Tamandua tetradactyla: one gene and its partners. Each later gene encodes a partner of the first gene's protein in a complex. Links are inferred from orthologs where the notes say so. Each region holds a gene or a part of one and is shown on either strand. Other genes may lie near its edges.

Evidence for each region.
Region 2: METTL14 (region 1) and RBM15 share a complex: the UniProt entries of both Homo sapiens proteins name them as parts of the WMM complex. The link is inferred for Tamandua tetradactyla from reciprocal best matches to the Homo sapiens genes METTL14 and RBM15.
Region 3: METTL14 (region 1) and WTAP share a complex: the UniProt entries of both Homo sapiens proteins name them as parts of the WMM complex. The link is inferred for Tamandua tetradactyla from reciprocal best matches to the Homo sapiens genes METTL14 and WTAP.

The regions. Positions count from the first base shown.
Region 1 is NC_135350.1:2,275,051-2,282,251, forward strand, and holds the start of METTL14 (N(6)-adenosine-methyltransferase non-catalytic subunit METTL14), read right to left. Parts: upstream 3,246-7,201; 5' UTR 2,705-3,245; coding exon 2,639-2,704; intron 1-2,638. UniProt on the Homo sapiens protein: The METTL3-METTL14 heterodimer forms a N6-methyltransferase complex that methylates adenosine residues at the N(6) position of some mRNAs and regulates the circadian clock, differentiation of embryonic stem cells and cortical neurogenesis.
Region 2 is NC_135337.1:12,585,467-12,593,621, forward strand, and holds the start of RBM15 (RNA-binding protein 15), read right to left. Parts: upstream 3,318-8,155; 5' UTR 3,032-3,317; coding exon 163-3,031; intron 1-162. UniProt on the Homo sapiens protein: RNA-binding protein that acts as a key regulator of N6-methyladenosine (m6A) methylation of RNAs, thereby regulating different processes, such as hematopoietic cell homeostasis, alternative splicing of mRNAs and X chromosome inactivation mediated by Xist RNA.
Region 3 is NC_135337.1:63,501,656-63,509,097, forward strand, and holds the start of WTAP (pre-mRNA-splicing regulator WTAP), read left to right. Parts: upstream 1-4,125; 5' UTR 4,126-4,470; intron 4,471-4,603; exon of another isoform or gene 4,604-4,780; intron 4,781-5,130; exon of another isoform or gene 5,131-5,234; intron 5,235-7,442. UniProt on the Homo sapiens protein: Associated component of the WMM complex, a complex that mediates N6-methyladenosine (m6A) methylation of RNAs, a modification that plays a role in the efficiency of mRNA splicing and RNA processing.

The DNA of each region.
Region 1 (7,201 bases):
ATACGAATGCTTAATTATTAAATTGATATCTTTCAGTCTTCAGTATTTTAGATGCAGCTAGAAGTAAAAACCTAAAACTCTGAAATTGCAACCCATGTTAAATTCTGAAACATGTTCTACAACTAATTGCGGCACTGTGCTTTGAAATGTATAGCTTTTTTGTATATATATATGTTATTGTTCATCAAAAAAAAAAAGGAAAAAAAGTTGATTGTGATGATAAAGTATTTAAGCGCGCTAGCCTCCTATATTCTTGAATAGCTAGAAGGAAAAATATGAGAGAATCATATAGTAGCCTATGACAAACTCTTGGATCTATCCTGTAACCACTTTTTGAAGAGTGCTTTGAAAACTATTGCTTTTTTTATTTCTTCACCTTGTATATGTTTTACTATACAATAAAAAAAGTTAAAAAAAAGCAAATCAAGGAAACTGTACATGAGTTGTGCTCTATTCTGATTATTTCATTAACCATTTATGTTTCTTAAAAAGGTTACTTTGTGCCAGAAACAATGCTGAGGTAGGGAAAATTTAACCTGATGGAAGTTAAATGCAAAGACTTTGTACTCAAACTGTTTATATTCTATATGATAGCTAAAACAAACAATATATAATAGTGGGCTGGACAATAAGTGTAATGAAAGCTCAAAGAATGAAGAGTCTAAGCCAGGGGTCAGGAAAGGTTTTGTCATGAAGTTCAGACTTTAGCTGGGCCATGCAGGAGAGATGGAATTCAGAAAGGAAGGAGGACAAAGCCTTGTTTAAAAAGTACAAAGGATGCATGGATGATTCAGTGGTACATTGCTCGCCTGCCAGACAGGAGATCGGGGTTTGATTTCCGGCCCATGCACCAAAAAACAGAATCACAAAGTATTTACACAAATCAATTTATGGAGAATAATAAACTGGTCTTGTTCATATGGAGAAAAACGCACAAAAGGCAGGCTGAAATAAGTTAGTAAAGAAGGAGTCTGCTGACATCAGGCATCCTTATGTGAATGGAATGGTTCGTATCCCTCTAGAAGTCTGGTTTTGGGGAGGCAGCTAGGTATACTGAAAAGAGCAAGGAAAGGCCTAAATTAAAATCCCAGCTCACATACTTAACCGACTTTGCAGGCTTGGGCAAGTTACTTAAATTCTTTGAGCTTTATTTTCTTCATCTCTAAAATGCAGGTTACATGTAACTTGATGAGATAAGATAACGTATGTAAGAATCTTAGCAAAGCCTGGTGCATAATTAAAAGGAACTTAATAAACAGCAGCCATTATTAAATTTCCTGTACTATGCAAGCTTTTAAGGATAGAGATAACCGATTATTCATAGCTGAAATGCCAAAGCCTACTCCAGTTCCTGGCATAGAGTAAGACACTCACAACAAAAAATTATTATGAGCGTATTTTGAGCTAAATCTTTTAGAAGTGTGAATTCAAAACTAAGGAGTAGTAACTTTCGTTGGTGGCAACAAGGAGCTAGGTATTGAGCATTTTTGAAGAAACATTATTTTTTAAAAGATGGGAAAAAGAAGACTTAAAAAGGATACCTGATTTGTCTAAGATCATACTGCCAGAGGGACAGAAATAGGTCTGATTCCAAATTCCCACGTTTAAACTACACCATCAATCATTTCATCAGATTATAAAAAAGGGTACGTTTCAGATTTCCCTTAACTAAAAAACCAAGATTTATAACTGAGAATACAAGGCAGATGCCTCATTAAACGCTACGAGCATTTTCTCCAGTATTTCTATTTATCTGAATTCCAGAATGGGATACATTGCCTCTGAGTTTAAGCAGAGGTGTGTACCACGTGGGTTCTGTGTATTCTAGCAATCAGCAAGTATTAATTTACTCATACACAAGAAGCAGTGAAACAGAGTGGTTTAGAAGACAAGCTACGGAGGGTCAAATCTGGACTAATTTCCTGGCCAAGAGGTCAGAGTGAAAATTACTTAACCACTGGAGCCTCCATTTCACTACTTAAGTGAGGATAATAGTATCTATTTCAGGGGGCGCTGTGACTGATACCGAATAAGAATTCAAGTTTTAATTGTGGGTGATGACAATACTGTACATAGCACAGTGGACTGTAATATGCAAAATGCAGAATATAGAGTTTACACTTAAGCTACTTCAAACGCAGACTTTAGACGTGGTAATTCCAATCAAATAAAACCATTTCGTGGGTTTACGGAAAAGACAATCTCAGGTGCTGACTCCAAGGAAAGGCAAGTCACGGAGAACAACTTAAACAGTGAAGAGAAGTTTAAGGGATTTTAAGAGATAATAAGTCACTTTTCACTGCATGTCTTGCTACAATAAATTACCATTACCGTGGTGATTTACTCACAAAACCCAAAGCTTTGCATCCCCACTATCAAGTACCGTGACAAACACTTGGCGGGATTCGATAAATGTTGCTGAAGACTCATCGCGGCATTTGGTTTAACCACCACACCGACCACGGGAGTGTCTAGAAAATTTTCGGGGAGCCGCGGAAGTTGAGAGATAAGAAGGGGGAGAATCAGGGATCATAGTCGCGGGACCAAAAAGTTCTGGACAGGGCCAAGGAATAAGCAGAGAGCAACGCGCACGCGCATTCGAGATCCCTCCCTGCACGGGCCACCCTGGGCCGCGGACCTGCTGCGCGAGGAGCTGTCGCCGTAGCTTCTGCCGCTCCCGGATCTCCTGCAAGCGGCTGTCCATGTCCCAATACCTGTTTTTCCACTACCCCGAAAACGTGGCACTAAGTGGATGAAACCCCGCTCAGTAATTCTTCTAAGCGTGAAACACTGGATTCGCCAGGAGGTTCCCGGAAACCGGCACTTCGCATCCCTTCACAGTCGGTATTTCCGGCTCGGCGCGGATTGGTTGGCCAGCCCGGAAGTCCCTCCTCCTTTTGGGTGCCGCGGTTTGAAGCCCCCGAAGAGGTCTGAGGAGATGAGGCCTGTTCCGGCGCGGAGGTGGTCGCCGCGGGTCTCCGCCGCTACTCGATCGCTCGTCCCGCCGGCGTGGGAGTCTGAGTGTTGTGGACTGTTTGGATTGCTTTTTTCCCCGTAAATTCCCATTCCTCGTTTTTTAAATGATCGAGTATGGGTTTTTTCCTGGGAACACAGACTCGAAGCAGCGTCTCAGGTTTGAACGCTGGTCTGTCAGGTGAGTGGCGGCCTGGGCTGGTTCCCGACGCCGCGAGCCTCGCGGTTCTCGGTTCTCAGTGAGGTCCGGGGCTTAGCCCGCGGCGAGTCGTCAGGGCGGGCGGGGCGCGACGCCCGGCGCCGTGGGGGCGTGGCCAGTGCGGCCCCTGCTGCTCGTTTGCGTGCGGGAGGGGTGAGCCCTGCGCTGCCTGGGCGGTCCCGGGCCCCGCGGGTCCTTCCAGAGCGCGTTTGACCGCATCTCCCCTCTGTGTGATTTCGTTCATGTCTAGAGGTGTGCGGCTACAGGGAGCCCTCCTTTTGTTGTACTTTTGTCTTAGAACTGATCTTGGAATACGGAAGTGAGTAAAGACCAGCCTACGGAAATTGCCCCGTTGGCGGTGGGGTAAGTCTCCTCCCTTCCTTGCCACGCGGCAACGACCAGTCTTATTCAAGTTATTATCGTTGTTATTTACTGCATTTGTCATCTTATTCCACACAAGGTGGTGGAGGTGGACCAGGACGTCGTGTAACTTCAGTGTTAATTGAAACGTATGGCAAGTAATTGCCAAAATTAGTAATGGTCCTTATGCTTTGAGAGTGAATTTAATTTCTGAAAATAATAATAAATCATGCAGATCCAACCAGGTGAGTCAGGCTATGCCTAAAGTGAGCAAGATTATATTCTACTAATTGCCATGTATTTTTTTTTAGGTGCATGGTCCGGGAATAGAACCCGGGTCTGCCATGTGTTTTCTTTTGTTGTTTTTTTTTTGTTTTTTTTTTTTTTATTTATTAAATGCACCAACATACAAACACAAACATTCTTACCATATGATCATTCCATTCTACATATATAATCAGTAATTTACAGTAACATCACATAGTTGTATATTCATCATCATGATCATTTCTTAGAACATTTGCATCAATTCCAAAAAAGAAGTAAAAAGAAAACAGAAAATAATTCATACATACCATACTCCTTACGCTTTCTTTGATTGATCAGTAACATTTCACTCTACTAAATTTATTTTAATATTTGTTCTCCCTAATATTTATTTATTTTTAATCCATATGTTTTACTTATCTGTCCATGAGGTAGATAAAAGAAGCATCAGATACAAGATTTTCACAATCACACAGTCACACTGTGAATGCTATACCCTTATACAATCGTCTTCAAGAAGCATGCCATGTGTTTTTTTAAAAAGTAACTCGTGGGTGGGCCACCCTGGCTCAGCAGGCAGAGTTCTCACCTGTGGTCGTGGAGACCCGGTTGTATTCCACATGCCTGCCCATGTTTAAAAAAAAAAAAGTAACTCAAAGGCCTCTTCAAAAGAGGAGTTCTAAAAATGGCTCTAGTAATGGCTACACTATCTTAAAGTATATACATTTTCTAGGAGCTTCTCCTTTAAAAGTCAGTACTAATTTGCAGGGATAAGTTAAAGTATGCTGCTTTACAAATTAGTTGCTACTTTACCTTCCAGTTATTTAAGTTGAACACTGATTTGAACTGTTTACCAATTAATGAGAATAGACATTTGTTCACTAAAATATTTAGTGATACTTACTGAGCTTTTTATATTGCAAGCATTGTATAAGACCCTAGATCTGATTATCAAAGACCAAAAATCAAACAAGCCGATTTTCTTTATGGAATTTTCTGTCTAGGGTGAGTAGGTATTTGTGTGTGTATTTTTTTTTTCCTGGTAAGATACTGTGCAGGTTATTTGCCTGTGGTCTTAGAGCCCCATACACACCTAAATTCTGATCTGGGATGATGGTGGGACTGGGAAACTGAAGCCTACGTTTCCCAGATTTCCTTATCATATGGCTTCCTATGGAGATTGTGCCAAGAGATTTCCTAATATAACTTATATGGACAGTTTAATTGAACATCATAAGTACATGGAACCTCTAATAGGGCATGAGATTTTGTAGGTTTGTTCAGAATGATGCCCTGATAAATCCCACAGTGATTTGAACAGTGAATAAAAAAGTATTTTCAAAGTCTCCTTGGAGGAAATGGTGAGAAAGGGGGAAAATTCAGCTTCCCCCATTTGGAGAATCTCTGATGTTCTCACAAGCAGTGGGGACAACCAAATCAGTAGGCGGAGCCCTCAATCTTGGGGTTTGTTGAGATGAAACTTATACCTACAAAGGACAGATTAAGCCTACTTAAAATAAGGCTTGAGAGTCACCCTAGAGAACTTCTTTTGTTGTTCAGATGCGGCTCTCTCGCTCTCAGCCAACATGGCAAGCAAACTCACCACCCTCTCCCTCTCTATGTGGGACATGACTCCCAGGGGTGTGGACCTTCCTGGCAACGTGGGACAGAAATCCTAGAATGAGCTGGAACTCAGCATCAAGGGATTGCGAAAACCTCGACTGAAAGGGAGAAGATAGAAATGAGACAAAATAAAGTGTCAGTGGCTGAGAGGTTATCCTGGAGGTTATTCTTACACATCTTATAGTTAACCCCTTTTTAGTTTATGGTGTATTAGAGAGGCTAGAGGGAAGTGCTTGAAATTGTAGAGCTATATTCCAGTAGCCATGTTTCTTGAAGATGGATGTATAATGATACAGCTTTTGCAATGTGACTATGTGATTGTGAAGACCTGTGTCTGATGCTTCTTTTAGCTACGATATTGACAGATGAGTGAAAAATATGGATTAAAAATAGAGAATGGGGGAACAAATGTCATAATAAATAGAGAAGATTAAAATACTAGTGAACTATGAAAGGGAGTGGTAAGGTGTATAGAAAAAAAATAGGGAGAACAAAGCTTAAAATCTATTGAATAGGTGGGGATACTAGTGGTCAATGAGAGGGAAGTATGGGATGTGTGAGGTTTTTATTTCTTTTTCTGAAGTGATGCAGACATTCTGAAAATGATCATGGTGTTGAATATACTACTATGTGATATTGTGAGCCATTGCTTGTACACCATACATGGAATGTTTGTATGTTAAGACTGTTCATGTTTGTATGTTGTTTTGGTTTGATAATACAAAATAAAATAAATTAGGGAAAAAAAAAAGATTGTGCCAAGAGGAAGCACAAGTACCTCCAGAAGGTGGAAGATGGGGAGCAGCTATTGACTTCTCTAACTCTTTGCCTCTGGCATCACTGGGAATGGCTTTGACCTTTACACAGTCCCAAGACCAGTTGCAAACAGCCCCTTTTTTTGGTGATCATGCCTTGCCTTTTACCACCCTTATGGTAGACCCACAGCAGTGAGTGTCCTTTTGGACTCTGACAATACCACTTCCTCCCTCTATTCCACCAGCTCTAGGACTGGTAGTTACTTCCTGCAGTAGAAATTTCTGTTTTAATCTTGGCTTTCCCTTTTTTGTGCTTAGAGCTTTCACCACCTGTGAAGCCAGTTCTCCATAGTTAAATGCTGTTTGTTTAGAATCCTTCGAATGATTCTATCTTCCTGCCTGGATCCTGGACTTACAAAGATGCAAATGTGTACTATGATAAGGTATTTACAAAGCTGTCAGAATCCAGCAATGTTGGGGTAGGGGCTATTAAAGTTTTCACAGAGGAGAGGATATAAGTATGAAATCTGTTTTTCTAATCATTGAATTTTAAAATGCCAGGCCAGTGGTTCTAGTTTGTTTTTTTAGTTTTCGATTGGGGTGTGTGTGTAGAGTACATGGCCAGAAATTGAACCCAGTGGCAAGCAAGCATTCTACCACTGACCTACCCATGCACCAAGGCCAGTGGTTCTAAACTGTTCCTTCTAAACCATGTTTTCCCACATCAGCATGTCCATATGTGCTCATCAGTAATATCTGCTCATTATGACAACGTAATGGCCAGTAGGTAGTGGGAGATGGGTGGTGGGGGGTGGGGGTAAGATGAAGGAGAAATTTGGAAAAACCCCACAAATAATTCCTACTCTTTGAAGAGATAATTTCATTTCTAAACACTAATTCTCTGAAGTAATTAGAGAGCCACATAATTTACACTTCTCCCCAAAAGCCCCTTGAGAATGACTGCTATAAAACCTATATCAGAATGCCTGTTGCACATACTCTAGAATGTCTCCCAGAATCTTAA
Region 2 (8,155 bases), on another chromosome or scaffold:
TCTATTTTTAAAGAGGTTATAAAAATATAAAAAAGAAAAAGCTATGACTAAACAACCAACTAAAAAGAAAATTGCCTTTGATGCTGTATCCCATTACACATCACAAAACAGGAACCATGTAAAAGTAGTAAATACAAATTACACATGTATCTTAAGACGCACCACGGACAATGATCATGACCAGGTAATCTTCTTCAGATTTAGCCAGTGCCTTGGCAGGGGAATCCAGGAACTGCTGGGAGAACTCACAGGGTGGGAAGGCATGAAGGACCCCGGTGTTCTCCTTGTCTTTGTTGCCCCCTACAGGGAGACTGATCACCCCAGCGGCCTGCTTTTGCTTTAAATAGGACACGAGGTTCCTAAGAGGCCTCTGGGTAGAGGTGGCAGTATCTGATGTGGCCAAAGAGGAGGAGGACCGGCTGTCAGAACTTCCAGGCACAGCCAGAAGAATGGCATAACCATTGGGCCCTGCCACTTTGATGCGTCGAGTTACTTCATCCAACTTGGGCTGGTCCAAACGGAGACGCTGAGTGATCTTGAGCTGGGCTACCTTGCCTCCAGTTGAACCCTCCACAAGAAGACTACTAGCCACTTGAAGGTCACCCTGCAACAGATGCATGTTGGATGGGAAATTGCTGTTCTTCAGTAGAAGCATGCCCTGCCAGGCCAAACAGAGTTTGGGAGAGGATGCTGCTGCAGGTGCTGCCCCACCATCCTGTTTCTGGGAAGGGGATTTCAGCTTCGATGAAGCAGTGCTGGTGCTAGGTGCACTCCCATCTGACCGGTCTTCTTTTTTCAGAGGGCTTTTACCCTCGGTGGGAGCAGCTGTCCGGTGCTTCCTATCCCGTTCTGCTGATGCAGAATTTTTACGGTCTCGCTTGTCACCTTGGCTCTTCTCCAAACTACCTCGTCTGTCTCTGATTGGAGAGGGCCTTTCCAAGAGGAGAAGACGGGAAGATCGATCATTGTCACTGTTATAGCGATCCCGGCTACTGCTCAATTCTGGACTGCGGTCAGGAGAAGGGGCACAGTGACGTTTTCGTGGACGGTCACTATCAGGGGACCTATCCAGATGCCGTCCCCCACTCTCCTCAGGCAGTCTTCGCTTCCTAGGCTGGTCTCTGCTGCTGGGCAGATCTCTCTCACCTCTGTCCCGGTCCAAGGACCAGCCATCACGCCTGCGATCAAGGTTATCCAATGGCTCATAAGCAGGCACAGCAGTTGCTGCAGTCCGAGTGCTGCGTTCACGGACTGGGGGCGGTGGTGGCACCCAATCAGAATCAGGATAAAGGTCCCTGTCACGATCTCTGTACAGTAAGGGTGGTGTCCTGTCCCGAGCACCTCTCAAAGGGTCAGGTGCTCGATGTCCAAAAGCATCTGTCACCAATTCGTAATGAGTCAGGGGAAGAGGCTGCAGATATTGTTGTTGGTAACGATGTTCCGTGTCTGCAAAGTCTACTCTAAGGCGACGGTCTGGGCCACCAAGTGGGAAGCCCCGCATATGGGTCCAGGCAGCATGAGCTGCATCCAGGCTTTCATACTGGATATATGCCCAGCTATCACCTTTGCGGTAGTCTATGGTGCGTATAGTGCCAAATCTGTCAAACTCCCGTGCCAGGGCAGCAAGAGGCACCCAAGGTCCCAAACCGCCTACCCAGAGGCGGGTGGTGGGTGTGGCTTTACCATAACCAATTTTTATAGGATTCCGAATTATAATTTTGCCAGACATTGCTAGTTTGGCTCGGTGAGACATGTCCAGGTTCTCGAATTTGAGAAAGCCGTAGGTACTGGTCTGGCCTCGAGAAGGCCGCTTGATGTCTACTTCTGTGATGACTCCAAAGCGATCAAAAGCCCTTCTTAGATCACTCTCTGTCACAGTGATGTCTAAGTTACCCAAGAAAAGCGTCCGGTTTGCTCGCTGATCATCCTCAGGTGAAATCTCATCCACTTCTCTGAAAGGAGCCGCACCGGCTCCACCTCCCACTCTTGGCTCAAGACTGTAGGCTGGACGCACTCTCTCATAAAACGGATAGTCTCGCTCTCTCTCCAGCTCTCGGGGCAACGGTGGCGGTGGTGGTGGAGGCAGGCGGCCAAGAGCCAACTGCTGCAACCGGTAGTCTCTGTACCCCAAGGCAGCACCACCAGGGGAAAGTGATCTCTGGCCTCCACCACCTCCCCCAGGAGGGTGCCGGTGTCCACCTACAGAAGCCCCAACCACACCGCCTGACGCAGGATAAGTATCTTTGTCTAAAGGAGAGCGGCTGCGGCGTCTGCTCACATACACAGCCTCTATCTTCAGGGGCCGGTCATAGAGCACTAGGCGGCCTCTGGCATGCTTGGCCGCCCGCGCGTCCTCTGGCCGCCGGAAGTTCACAAAGGCTACCCGTTCATCCCCGCTGCCAGAACCCGAAAGATGACTGATTTTGACACTTACATCACCGAAGCGTTTGAACTCGTGAAATAGACCGTCCTCCACTGCTTCGTCGCTCAACTGGGACCCCAACTCGCTTATCTTCAGCGTCTTGTATTCCCCGCTGTCCCCACCACCAGGAGTTGAGGAGGCGGCCCCAGAGGAACGTGACTCCCCGCCTCCACCCCGGGAGCTGCTGCGCGACTCGCCCCCGCCCGAGGAATTTTTGGTGCTTGGGGAGCTGTAACTATGTAAGCGGCTACTGGCGCTGCCCCCACCAGTGTCATACTCGCGGCTGCCACCTCGGCTGCTGGACTTGTCCAAATGAAGGCTCCGCCGCGACCCGCCGCCGCCGTCGGTCTTTCCGCTGCTGCTCCCATTGCTGCCTCCAGAGCCTCCTAACTTCTTGCTCCGCTCCGCGCGGGAAGTCGAGTCCTCACCACCACGAGAACGTTTAGCCTTGACTGGTGAGCGCTCTTTTCCCTTCATCGTTGCAGGTCGTCGCAGGTCGTCTCCGCGGAACTGATTAACCCGCCGCCGCGCGCTCGTTTCACACAGCGGAACCGCACGCCGCCATCTTGGACTCCGCCGCGGAAAAGGATCCCGCCCCGTAGTCCTCATTGGTCAATTAGCATCTCTGTTCTACAGTCTCATTGGAAAAACTGTTTGTCTGTCTTTACATCTCCCCGCTCTCCGGGAAGGTGCCCGCCCAACAACTGTTATTGGTCTCCCAACGCCCTAGTCAGAGTATCTCATTGGTGGTATTCATTGTCTATCTTAACGGTTCCTCGCGCCAGGCTATAGCCCCGCCCCTGCACTCTATAGTCACCTGACCCAAAGCCCGGAGGCGCTGATTGGACAAAAAGTCTGCCTTGTAACGGTACTTCTTGCGCGGCGAAAGCAGCGTTCCCACCTCTTCATCCTTTTCATTGGTTTGGGACCCCGTCCTTTAACACACTATTTGGAAAGTTGGGCCATCCGTTTTGACATTTTTTTTCTCTGAGAGGCAGTCTCACACGAATCTCGCAGGCGCGAGCGCTCTCTTTCGATCCCCTTCTTCCAACTCCTCCAGCGGCCAAAAGAAATTTAAATTTGATTGGATGTTGATGAGGAAATTGATAGGCTGGAATAACTGTCCATCACTCGCTTAAGGGGAGAGACCCATATACTGAGGAGGCTGACTGAAGGTGAAAACTAGAACACGCGCTTGCTGTGCGACGTCACTTAGATGTCGCGAGATGGTGATCATGAGCCAACTCCGCCTCCCCGCGCTTTCGCAGTTCACCCTTCAAACATTTGTTCGGTCCCGCGGCGTACTTAGCGATGCTGCAGCCCGTGGAGCTAGAAACTTCTGGGCTCCCCACCGTTCTGCCTGTGGCAGGCGAGGCACTGGGTAGGCCGTCCGGCTGTTAGAAGCTGTCCCGGGGTGTGTGCGAGGCACCACCCCCTCCGGCCGTTTCCCCAGGGCGCGAGAGAGCGTCCCCCGAGGTCACTGGGACCCGCGCGGCCGGCAGGGGCCAGGAGTTCTCTTTTGACACGCGCGGGGTCAGACTAAAGCCTCGGGGTGACGCTGCGATCTGGCGCGTTCTCTCAGGGTCGGGCAGCGAGGTGGTAGCGCAGCGGGGACGCAGCCCTAGCGTGCCTCGCCCGGGAGCCGGGCTTTCCCTGACGCTCCCGGTTCCCACCCACGGAGCGGCGGTAACCCAGGGGAGTGACCGCGATCCCAGCGTCTCTGTTCGCGGGCGTGGCGGGAACTGTAGGGCTATAGCGGACGTATGTCTGGGCTTCCTGTTTTATGTTGCGAATGCACGTGGTTTGTCTGTTCTTGGCGCTGTAGTCTAGCTGTATTTGTTTTCATACGCGTTACCTCTCCCCTTGAGATAACCGGGTGAGATTTACACCCGCTGCAGATGCGCCGCGCTTTCCTGCCCGCACCTGCCCGCATCCCCGGCTATTCTGCATTAGAACCCAGTAGCGCAGCCACCTGGCTGTCTCCAAATCCACCTCTTTTACCTCCGTCAATGATTATCCAACTCTCATTCTTTGCACAGACCTTTATTGTGTCAGACGCTGTGCGAGATGCTGGGTGAGGCCGGGAATTGGCTGACACCGAGAATTTCACCGTCTGCTGGAAGGAAGTAGTGCCGAGTAAGAATAAGATCCCGAAAACTTGAAAACTGCCTAAGACGGGTTCGCAGCTCTGCATTAGATCTGCTTCCCTTTTTTAATAATTTTAGGGGAAGTGATGAAGGGGCCTTTCATCTTTTGATAAGATCAAAGAAACCTGAAAGAGGCCCACAATTAAGTGGATATGTAAAACATAAAAATCCACAGTGAAATAGTGTGTAGATATACCCACTGGATTAAAAGTAACTACTATGGGCGCCAGCTACCATGCCGTGAGATTCCCCAACTGAGGCAGTCTAGTTGACAGTCCCAACTGAGCACCCGGGTGACAGCCAGCACCAAATAAATGCCCGTGGGCGTGAAGCATTTTCCATGTTCCAGACCATTCAAGCCTCTAGGTGACCGAAGTCCTGTCAGACACCAGATGCCACATAAGAGCCAAGCAGCTTGAGACATTAAGCCTACAGCAGCTGATAGATAGATAGTAAATCATTATTTAAAAAAATAAACTGGCTACCAAAAGTTTCATAAGGTGTCTAGTATGCTACCATTTGTGGTTTTAAAAAAATGTATATAAATATTCATACCCACACATATATATGTATCTTTGTATATTCGTAGAAACCTACTTGAAAAATACTGAAGAAAATAGTTACCAGGTTACCCTGAGGATGGGAACTGAGAGTCTGGAGTAAGAGAGGGAGACTTAACTTTTCATTGTGTATCATTGTTTTGCTTTTTAAACCTTTGTTTTACCATGTGCCACTCTTTCAGTTTGAAAAATAACAATTCTTTTTCACTTACAAAGAATACTCTGAAGAACCCGGCACCTAATTTCTGGGGTTTTTTGGGGGTTTTTTTTTGCCTTCTTTTATTTATTTATTTATTAAACATAACATACAAGAATATTCTTACTATATGATCATTCTATTCTTGATATATAATCAATAACACAATATCATCACATAGTTGTATATTCATCATCATGATCATTTCTTAGAACATTTGCATCAATTCAGAAAAAGAAATAAAAAGAAAAAAATTCATGCATACCATGCCCCTTACCCCTCCCTTTCATTGATCACTAGCATTTCAGTCTACTAAATTTAACGTTTGTTCCTCTATTATTTATTTATTTTTAATCCATATGTTTTACTCATCTGTCCAAATTGTAGATAAAAGGAGCATCAGACACAAGGTTTTCACAATCACACAGTCACACTGTTAAAGCTATATGATTATACAATCATCTTCAAGAAGCATGGCTACTGGAACACAGTGCTACATTTTCAGGCACTTCCCTTCAGCCTCTCTCTCCATTATACCTTAAATAAAAAGGTGATATCTATATAATGTGTAAGAATAACCTCCAGCATAATCTCTTGACTTTGAAATCTTTCAGCCATTGACACTTTATTTTGTCTCATTTCTCTGTTCCTCCTTTTGGTCAAGAAGGTTTTCTCAGTCCCTTGATGCTGAGTCCCAGCTCATTCTAGAATTTCTGTCCCATGTTGCCAGGAAGGTCCACACCCCTGGGAGTCATGTCCCACATAGACAGGGGGAGGGCAGTGAGTTTGCTTGTTGTGTTGGCTCAGAAAGAGGCCACATCTGAGCAACAAAAGATACTCTCTGGGGGTGACTCTTAGGCCTAATTTTAAGTAGGCTTAGCCTGGTCCTTGCGGAGATAAGTTTCATGCAAACAAACCCCAAGATTGAGAGCTCGATCGATTGTTTTGGTTGTCCCCACTGCTTGTGAGAATATCAGAAATTCTCCACATGGGAAAGTTGAATTTTCCCCCTTTCTCGCCATTCCTCTGAGGGGACTTTGTAAATACTTTTTTTATTTACTGTTCAAATCATTCTGGGATTTATCAGGACATCACTCTGGAAAAACCTACACAATCTCATGCCCTACTCAAGATTCTGTGTATTTATGGTGTTCAATTAAACTGTTCACATAAGCTATATTAGGAAATGCACTAACCAAAATATAAATTTTGTATCAAATAAACATTTTTTCCAGCACCTAATTTGAACAATTAACAAATCATTTCAATCTTGTTTCTCTCTAACCTCTTCCCACTCTCCCTCTCTCCATTATTTTGCTGCAGGCTTATCTAGTACATTATCTGTACCACCGCACAACCCCAGTTCTCCAAGGAGTTCTGGTTCCTTTAAATGGAAGATGGTATTTAGAGATAAGAATCTAGACACTAGGGGGTTTTTTAAAAAAAACTTGCAGTATTTGTCAACACTCGAAATGCTCAAAGAAAAAGCTTTAAATAGAGAGTTTGAATCTATTTTAAGGTTATATTCCTACAACACAAAGGGAAACTGAAGGAACCCCGTTACCTGATTACTCAAATCATTAGCTGATCCAGATAAACCAGTCTCCAGAATTAATACTTTTGAACTAAACTGACTTGCTTAGTTGACTCACTGATTAAAGAAAAAGATAATAGTTAAATCAGTACAGTTTCCCAAAACTAATTATAGGGGTTGAGGAAACACAAGAATTCAGGGAAAGAATTCCAGTTTGTACTGCCTGCTGGACAAGCACCAGTACAAATGTGTGGTAGTGCCTGAGGCTTCCAGGCTTGACTTGCTGCTTGACATACCAGGGGGCATGATGGAAGCAACTGCTCACAGTTGGCTGCACTAGTAATGCTTGCCTGAGGGAATGGTAGACTTTTTGGAGACGAGAGGACTGGTGGGATGGTAGCCTTCTTGGAGACAAGAGGACTGGTAAGTTTTATGGTTAGTCTGTAAAGAGCTTTACCAGTGAAAGAGCCAAAACATAATGCCTGTAATGTGTGTGTGTTCACAGTAGAGCTAAATAATGCCAAAATATGTTGGATCCATAATGTAGTTAAAAGAAGTGATTTGTTTTATTTTCTTTTCCTTTGTCTTAAAGCATGAAGCTGTTTAGTGAGTTTTTATCAGCTGATTTTACACATGTCTTTTAGAGGGGTTTGAGGTAGGATTAAAGTGACCCAGCGTTTAAGAGCCAGAACTTTGAAAACTTTTTCTGGTATTGGTGAGGAAGTTGAGATTCGGTCCAAGCTTTCATTTGGTCTCCTTGTGATCAAATGGCCGGATTTGTGAGGTTACCTGACCTGGGGTGAAGAGGATCTCTCAGTGGTCAAGAAAACAGTTAAATTACCAACAACTTCCCGGAGCAACATAGCAGCATGTTGATCTCTCCTTTTCAGTGCCCTTATCCCAAGTTAGGAAATAATAAGGAAAAGTTTCATAGCCTGTTCTGGAATGAGGGTGACCCCTTGGAGCCGTGCAACTCTAAGGTCCTAGAAGACACAGCCCAGCAAGAGAGCAGACACAACTAGCTTTCTATATGAGTCCTTTTTCTGTCTCCTTTAAAATCAGTTTTAGCTTTAAAAGGAAAAAGCAAAAGAAAAGTTATACACATGGAAGAAAACTGCAATTTTTAAAAATGTATGTTTTCAAACAAATGCCCCTCCTTTCACCCTCTTCCTGGATTTTATTCTTTTTGTATCCGCCTCCTCAATACACACACACACACACACACACACACACACACACACACACACACACACACAGTTGTGATTGCAACACAAATTTTGTCTTGGAAGTTCAAAG
Region 3 (7,442 bases), on another chromosome or scaffold:
TAAATGTTTCTTGGGTATATAATGGATATATTGATTTAAAACAAAATGTCTAGAAATGTGTTCATCATTATGGTTCAAGGAGATGAACTATATTTAATGAAGTAACATATTTAAAATTATAACTACTAGTTAAAATTACGATAGTAATCTAAATTTAAAAAGAAATTGTAGCATGCCAGTGCTAGTGGAGTTCCTTGTGATCCACAAAGAAAATGGAGACTAAATATTGCTAGCTTTTATTATGGTTAAAATATCTAGATGTTAGTTAAATCTGAAAGTTTTGTGCACATTGGGTTGGCATGTGAGTAGGGAACAGTCTGAAAGTAAAAAGGAAATGAGACTGAGCTAAATAATAATGGTGTCTCTAGGCTAATTGCTAAAGATGACCTTTGTTAACATGGTAAGGACGAGTGGGAAGAAGATTCCAGACAAAAAGGATGGAATGAGCGGAGGTACTGTCTTGTGAAACAATGATGTATGCAGAGTCATAATCGCACATAATTAACCCACTGAATACAGCTGAGGATTCTTTTCCAGCTCTTTTTCATCCTTACGATAAATCCAACCCAAGAAATCTCACAGCTCTGAGCTCTGGGAAGTCACCACAAACTTCTTCAGCCACCAATTCTGGACATCTCCAGGATCCCCAAACTTCTTGGGTGCCACGTGATGAAGACCAGCCTCACTGCAAATGTCTTTTCTTTTTATTTCTGGCCTCCCTCTTCTCAGTATTTTAGTAGGTGATTCCTAAATCAAAGTAGTAGGAATATAGGTTACAGGCTAAGTAGAAGGTTTATTGGGAAAGAAGTGGCCAATTTATTTAATATCAGTCTAAGTCAACCGTATGTACTATTTAAAACAGTAAATATTGCTATTATTGAGGATTGTACCAACTCGGGTGATCAGTAAAAACTTTTTGCTCATAGTTTCATAACATTTTTTTCTGAATAATGACTTTTCCTACTATTTTGATAGACTTGCACTAGTACTGTTTCTCTTTTTCCTATATTTTCTGTAAACTGGAGGTATATTACCAGGTTGTCCCACAAAACTGATACCAAATTTGACCACTTAGTTCAGCTGGGGACCACCAGATGGCTCCACCGTACAGGTGTTTTTCTTCTTTATCATTAGATAAGTAAGATATGGGGGTGATACATGGGCGCCATGTGAATTTTCCACTTACCAGTAACCTTTTACCTAAAAGCTTTAAAGTTCATTGAAAATCCTTGTTTGAATCAATTATTTCACTGGAGTGTGCATGATGGCTATTTTCAAATTCTACCATTTATTCTAAATGTATTAGCTGGCATCCTATAAAGAAGAATTTTTCCACATCGACTGGGGATGAACCAGTTATCCTTTTTAAAAGGCAGGGTAAATCCTATTCTTTTATCAACCCATTTTCAGAGTATGAAGTTAGCGTAATAGGCACCTCCAATGATGGAAGAGTTTTTCTTCCCTCTCTCTGAGTATAACATATGAAGTCACATATTTTTCATTCAGTGTTTGTAATTTATTATAGCCATTTTCTTTTTGAGGCTCAAATTGCCCTAACTTTGGCCTGTGAGAGACCTTTCAAGTAGGCTCCTAAGTATTTTAAAAATTTACTAAACTGAGGTATAATTTGCACATACACTAAAATGCAACCATTTTAATGGGACACTTTGATGGAAATTTGAAAAATGTACATATTTGGGTATCTAGCACCCTAAGTATGACTCAGAACATTTTCATCACATCTGAAAGTGCCTTTATACCCATTTCAGGTCTATTCTTTTCCCTTCCCATCCGAGACAACCACTGATCTGATTTCTATCACTGTACATAGGTTTTGCCTGTTCTCCTATGTCCTATTTACATACCCCCCAATAGCCTAAGGGATTCCTTAGCAATCCAGAATAAATATCTCAGACTCATCTTGAACTTTCCGTGCCCCCAAACTAGAATCAGCCCATTCTCTAGAGAGCTCTGGATCTTTTTTAGAGGGAAATGGAAACTAGAAACCAAGATCTGGGTGCTAGGTGTGCTCTTGTTACTGTAGGGTGACCAACTACCCTGGTTTGCCCGGCACAGCTGGTGGCCTTACTGCTTCCAGGCCCTGAAGTGCACTGAGCTAGGAAATCTATTTTAATTATACGTTCAAGTTTATATTTCCAATTTAAATTTAATATACACACGGATCTTCTGATCTTTGATTTTGTACTTGGATATCATTTTAACTCGGAAATTCTTTACACACAATAACATCAATATATTTGTGTTATTCTACCATGGAGTTTCAAAATATTTAGTTATAAACCACTGAATACAGTTCAGGATTCTTTTCCAGTTCTTCTTCATCCTTAGGATAAACCCCACCCAAGAAATACTGTGAGAGTGAGTATGGTTGAAAGGGGAAGTCTAGGGTCGTGTATGCCACTAGAAGAAAAGCTAGAGGATCAGACATGGAATTTATAACATAACATTGTGGATGATGATTGTGCTTAACTTTACAGTTTTACATGAAAAAAAAAAAAAAGATAGCACTGCCCTGGGCATGCTTGCTGGTGGCAGTGCTTCTCTGGGGTGGGGGGTGGGGGGGGTGGGGAGAGATAAACTGCAACAGTATTGTGGCCAAAAGATGTAGGGAATAATTCTTATTTCCCTGTGACATAATGTTACCAATTTGATTCAGAGTTAGGTTCCTTTGCTTCAATTTGCTTTGTACTTTGAGGTTTACTTTGTTTCCTTTTTTATTTACTTATTGGCTATGTAAAACTTTAAGTATTCACAGAGAAGTCTTCCTACTAATTCTGTCCCCTCCACTCTCTATTGGAAATTACTTAGTTTCTAACATACCCTTCCAGTGTTATTCCCCCACCCCCACCCCTACCCCAAGTAAGTATGCCCCGAAGATCACTTTAAATCACTTACTATACCCTGGGACTCACTTCAAAGCAAGACATAAATACCATCCTCATTCTTTTATATGGCTGCATCGAATTCCACAATACGGATCTATCATATCCAATCAGTTCCTACTAATGGGTATTTGTGTTATTTCCAAACATTTACTATGGAAAACAGCTCTACAATGAATAGGCTTGCGTATACTTTGTTTGTATTTGTGGAAGTGCATGTTCTGAATAAGGTTAGGGTTAGAAATGGAATTGCAAGGTATAAGGATAAATGCATATGTAATTTTGGTACTCCGTAGAGCTTGAATCGCTTTCCATTCCCACCAGAAAATTTACGAGCACGTTTCCCCACAACCTTGCCAACTATGTGATTTCAACGTGTGGTTTTTGCCAATCTGATCATTGTAACTTCACTGTGTCCTATTCTGTGAGGTTGAGCAACTTTTTATGTTTAAGGACCACTGATATATTTTTTTTTCCTTCTGAACTGTCTGTTCATGTCCTTGCCCATTTTGCTTTTAGGATTTTGGTCTCTTCCGTTTTTTAAGAGTTTCTGTAATACAAGTTGCAATATTTTCTCCAGATTGATCTGATTTACTGGGACTGGACCTTTGAAGATCTCTAGTATACTTAAACCTTATCTTTACAGATCACCTCATCTCAGGACACCTTCCTTGGGGATAAAGTTTTGGTAAGGCTGACCGAGCCAAAAAATTACCTGCCCTCTCCTACAAGGGGAAGATGCTGTTTTCATGCAGACCAGGTAAAAAACCATCTTTCTTATTGAAACCGGTCCAGACGACATCATGTCTTAAGGGAATATATTCAAGTTACAAAGTTTATTTTATTGGATTCATGAAAACTTCACCGGGTTCGCCTTCGCTTCCTTTCTGAACTAACAAGGTGCACTGAGAGCCGCTGGCGAGGCACAACCTTCCATCTGCCGCACAACAATGGCTGATTTCGCCTTCGGAGATGCCAGGGCAGGGACGAACCAAGAGGTCGTGCGCCTGCATCGCACGACGGCCGCGGTGTACCACTTTCTCAGCTCTCACTAACAAAGTGAAGTTCAGCGAAGCGAACAAACCTGCCCGGCCTGACATCACACCTGGCCCGCCCGCTCGCGGAAGCATCGTCAAAACGGGCACACCAGTCACCACGTGGCCACGCCACGCACCGCCCTCGTCGGGATCCCTCCGCCAGGGCACGCGCCCCAGCCGCAGCTGGCAACGGGGAGAGCTCCCACCCTCCCCGGCGAAGACCGCGACCCGCCACTCTTCCCGTGATGCCCCGCGGCTGAACCCCGACCTCCTCCGCGCCCGATCTCCTCACCCACCCCCCGCCACTACTTCGCGTCCGTGCCCCTCCCCCCCGCTCCTGTCAGATCCCGAGGCCGAGGGCGCGCGCCCAGACCCGGGGAAGGGGCCCGGCCGTGGTACGGAGAGAAATCGCCTCCACTGGTGCCTCGGGGCTCTGCGTTGGGGCACCGCCACTCCCGTCTCTTTTCGTCCCCGGGCAGGGCCCGGCGGCGGGCGGACGACCGCGGCGGCATCCGGTAGACGACCTCTCGGTGAGTGGCCGAGGCGCAAACATGGCGGAGCGGCGGTAGCGCCCCAGCTCCCGGCTGAGGGGCCGCGGGGCGGGGCAGGCGGCGGGGCGGGGCGCGAGCGCAGGAGGGTGGGGATGGGGGACGGAACCTCATTTCCTCCCTCGGCGCCATTTTGTGGCAGCGAGACCCGCAAATAAAGGGGAGAGCCGGGGCTGCGGCGTGAGGAGCAGCGCGGTCGGGGACGGCGAGTTGGGCCCAACGGGCCGCGGGCGGGGAGCGCGGCCTCGGCCTATATGACCTGAAGGCGCCAGCGCGGCCTCGGCCCGAAGAGGTAGGTGTGGGCCCGGCCGGCGGCAGCGCCGCGGAAAGGCATCGCGTTCACCCCTAAGGCCGGCCGACTGAGGCACGCCCGGCCTGTCGGTCCCGGGAGGGGCGGCAGAACCCACGGGCCAATCGGGCTGCCGACCTCCGGGTCGCGCCAGCCTCCCGTTAGTCGCCCCGCTACCCGGCTGCGGAGACGCTTCCGCCGCCCCGAGGCCATTTTCCCTCCGTGCCGCGTCCCCGGGGCCCGGGAGCGAGGCGGGTCCCTCGGGTGGGCCGGAAGGCCAGCCCCTCGCGGAGGCCGGGCCGGCTCGCCCTGCTCGCCTTCTCTCCGCCTCTGTTTCGCCCCCTCTCCCTCCTCTGTCTGGATCTGGAGGACCCAGCGGCACGAATGAGTTCAGTAAGGGGAAGAAATGAGCCTCCTTTTCCTAAATTTCTCGTCACGCAGTAAGCTATCGCTGCAGGTAGTCTCCTGTAGACTTCCATTTTTAAACGCTTGTCATGCTTTCTGAGTCAGAAAATAGTTCATTGAATTTTTTCGAGATTTTCATGAGATTTAAAAGTCTGACCTGGATGCTTGTAAGAATAAGTCAGTAGGGAAAACAAAGTGGGAAAGTCAAAGTTCTTGTTTTGATTATGAAGAAAGTCAATTGGCTGTATGAGCCTAAAGAGCTATGTTAAAATTCGAATTAACGTTGTCATTAAAGTAAATAACTGTTCTTTTTCATGTTAAAGTCTTGAGTTGTGTTTATTCCCATTTTATCTAGTTTTCTCTCACTTTGAATTTAATTTCGTTGGGGTGAAGGTAAGTGGAAGTCGTGAGTCTATTACCTCGAAGTTCTATCCGTTTCTTTTTTTAATTTTGGCCATCAAATGTTCTACATTGTAGGCACACTTTTACTTTTTGTAGCTCAGTCCCATTTTTTTTTTTAATCTGAGAATCTTTTCAAAGTGGCAAATTGTTATTTATTTACACATGTCATTGTCTAGCATTTTTTATCAGGCCATTTGGGTAAAAAAAAAAAAAATTGCAGTCCACGAGGTGGCGTGCTGATACGGTTAGATTAAAATTTAAGGGTTTGAGTAGGCGTTGTTTCTGGAGTCTTTTTAGATCTTTTCTGAGGAGATAGCGAAGTGATCGGTGTTTTTTACACACATGATAGTGTGGAGACTTGGGCAAAATAGCTATAATTTGCAGAGTCTAAAGGAAGAAAGGAGTAATAATGGTGGGTCCTAGGCACTGCTGATTATTACCTACCTCATCTAGTTTAAAGAAATCCATAGTATCTAGCTTTTCCAATTTCAAGTCGTTTGCGCAAAATGTTTTTGTGCCTTGTTTGTCAAAAATGAGTTTGTTTATATGATACAGAAAATCTGTGGTAGTCTTAAGATACAGAGGTGAGAGTTGTAATAATTTTGTTTTTGTAGTGCATTACAGCATTCATAGCTCCTTAGGTCTTCTATGTATGTATTATAGAATTTTCTTCAGCGTATTGTTTACCTAGCAGTGTTGTTTACCTAGTGATCTTGATCATTTTTCTTTGGTGTATTTGTTATTTTGGTATTCAGCATTTTGTGTTGGCGAGTTCTTTAACAAAACAAGACTTAAGAGAGTTTCTTAATTTTATTCTTCTTTTTAAAAATTATCCCCCCTTTTTCTGCCTCTAAATTTTTTTATATATATTTTTTGTATTTTTTATTTGTATTTTTTCTCTATATTATCATTTTGTTTCTTTTTCTGTTGTCTTGCTATTTCTTTTTCTAAATCGATGCAAATGTACTAAGAAATGATGCCTCTAAATATTTTGTTTCATTCGGTTACTAAGCTTATCAGAGAAAAGCTCTGTAATATTCCCCAAATAGTACAGTGCATTGTATATAATAAGGTGCTCCATAAGGCTAGAACTCTGTGCTGTACATTAAGTGTCCTCTACCCTTGAAAATATAGTTGGTGGAATTTAATCTTTATTAAATACACGATGAAGTCCTCTTTTATGTTCATGTTAGTATTTTGTTTCAAAAATTCTTTGTTTTGTAGCACTTTATGTCATTGAAAGCCTTGAAATTTGCAGCAACTTGTGAGGTAGGCAAAATTGGTAGCCTCTCTTTGCTGATTTAGAAACTGAAGCCTAGAGAATTAGATGACTTGCTCAAAATCACATGGCTGGTAGCTAGAAGAGTCAGGGAAAGATGGTCTTCCAGTTTGTGATTTTTCTACTACAGTGCTTAGGCTAGTCTGATGTCAGATTATTGATTTCTTATATTCAGTTGTGATTACTTTCATCAGCCTTGGCTGGGACCTGCGTCTTTGTTCAGAGGAAGCTAAATTGCATAACTTAGGATCATAATGCAAAAAGCCAAGGAAAATGGAACTGGGATGCTAGGCATCCAGCCAACCAAAATGGAATAATTAGCTGTTTCTCAGTATCAAGTCATCAAGAAGTAGATGGTGATTCTGACATTACCTCTGAATTAGCCATATAAGTAACTGAAATCCTCACATAATTTTAAAACCATGAAATCTGCTCAATAGTAGCCAAATTGGCCAGTTTTGAATTTTTTCTAATTGACATTACTTCTGCATTCTTAACTTTAGCTAGCTAAACTTAATCACCTTTTGGGGTGGAGAGAGTGGGGGAAATTATTATCGTTATCACTTACCAACTTTTTTT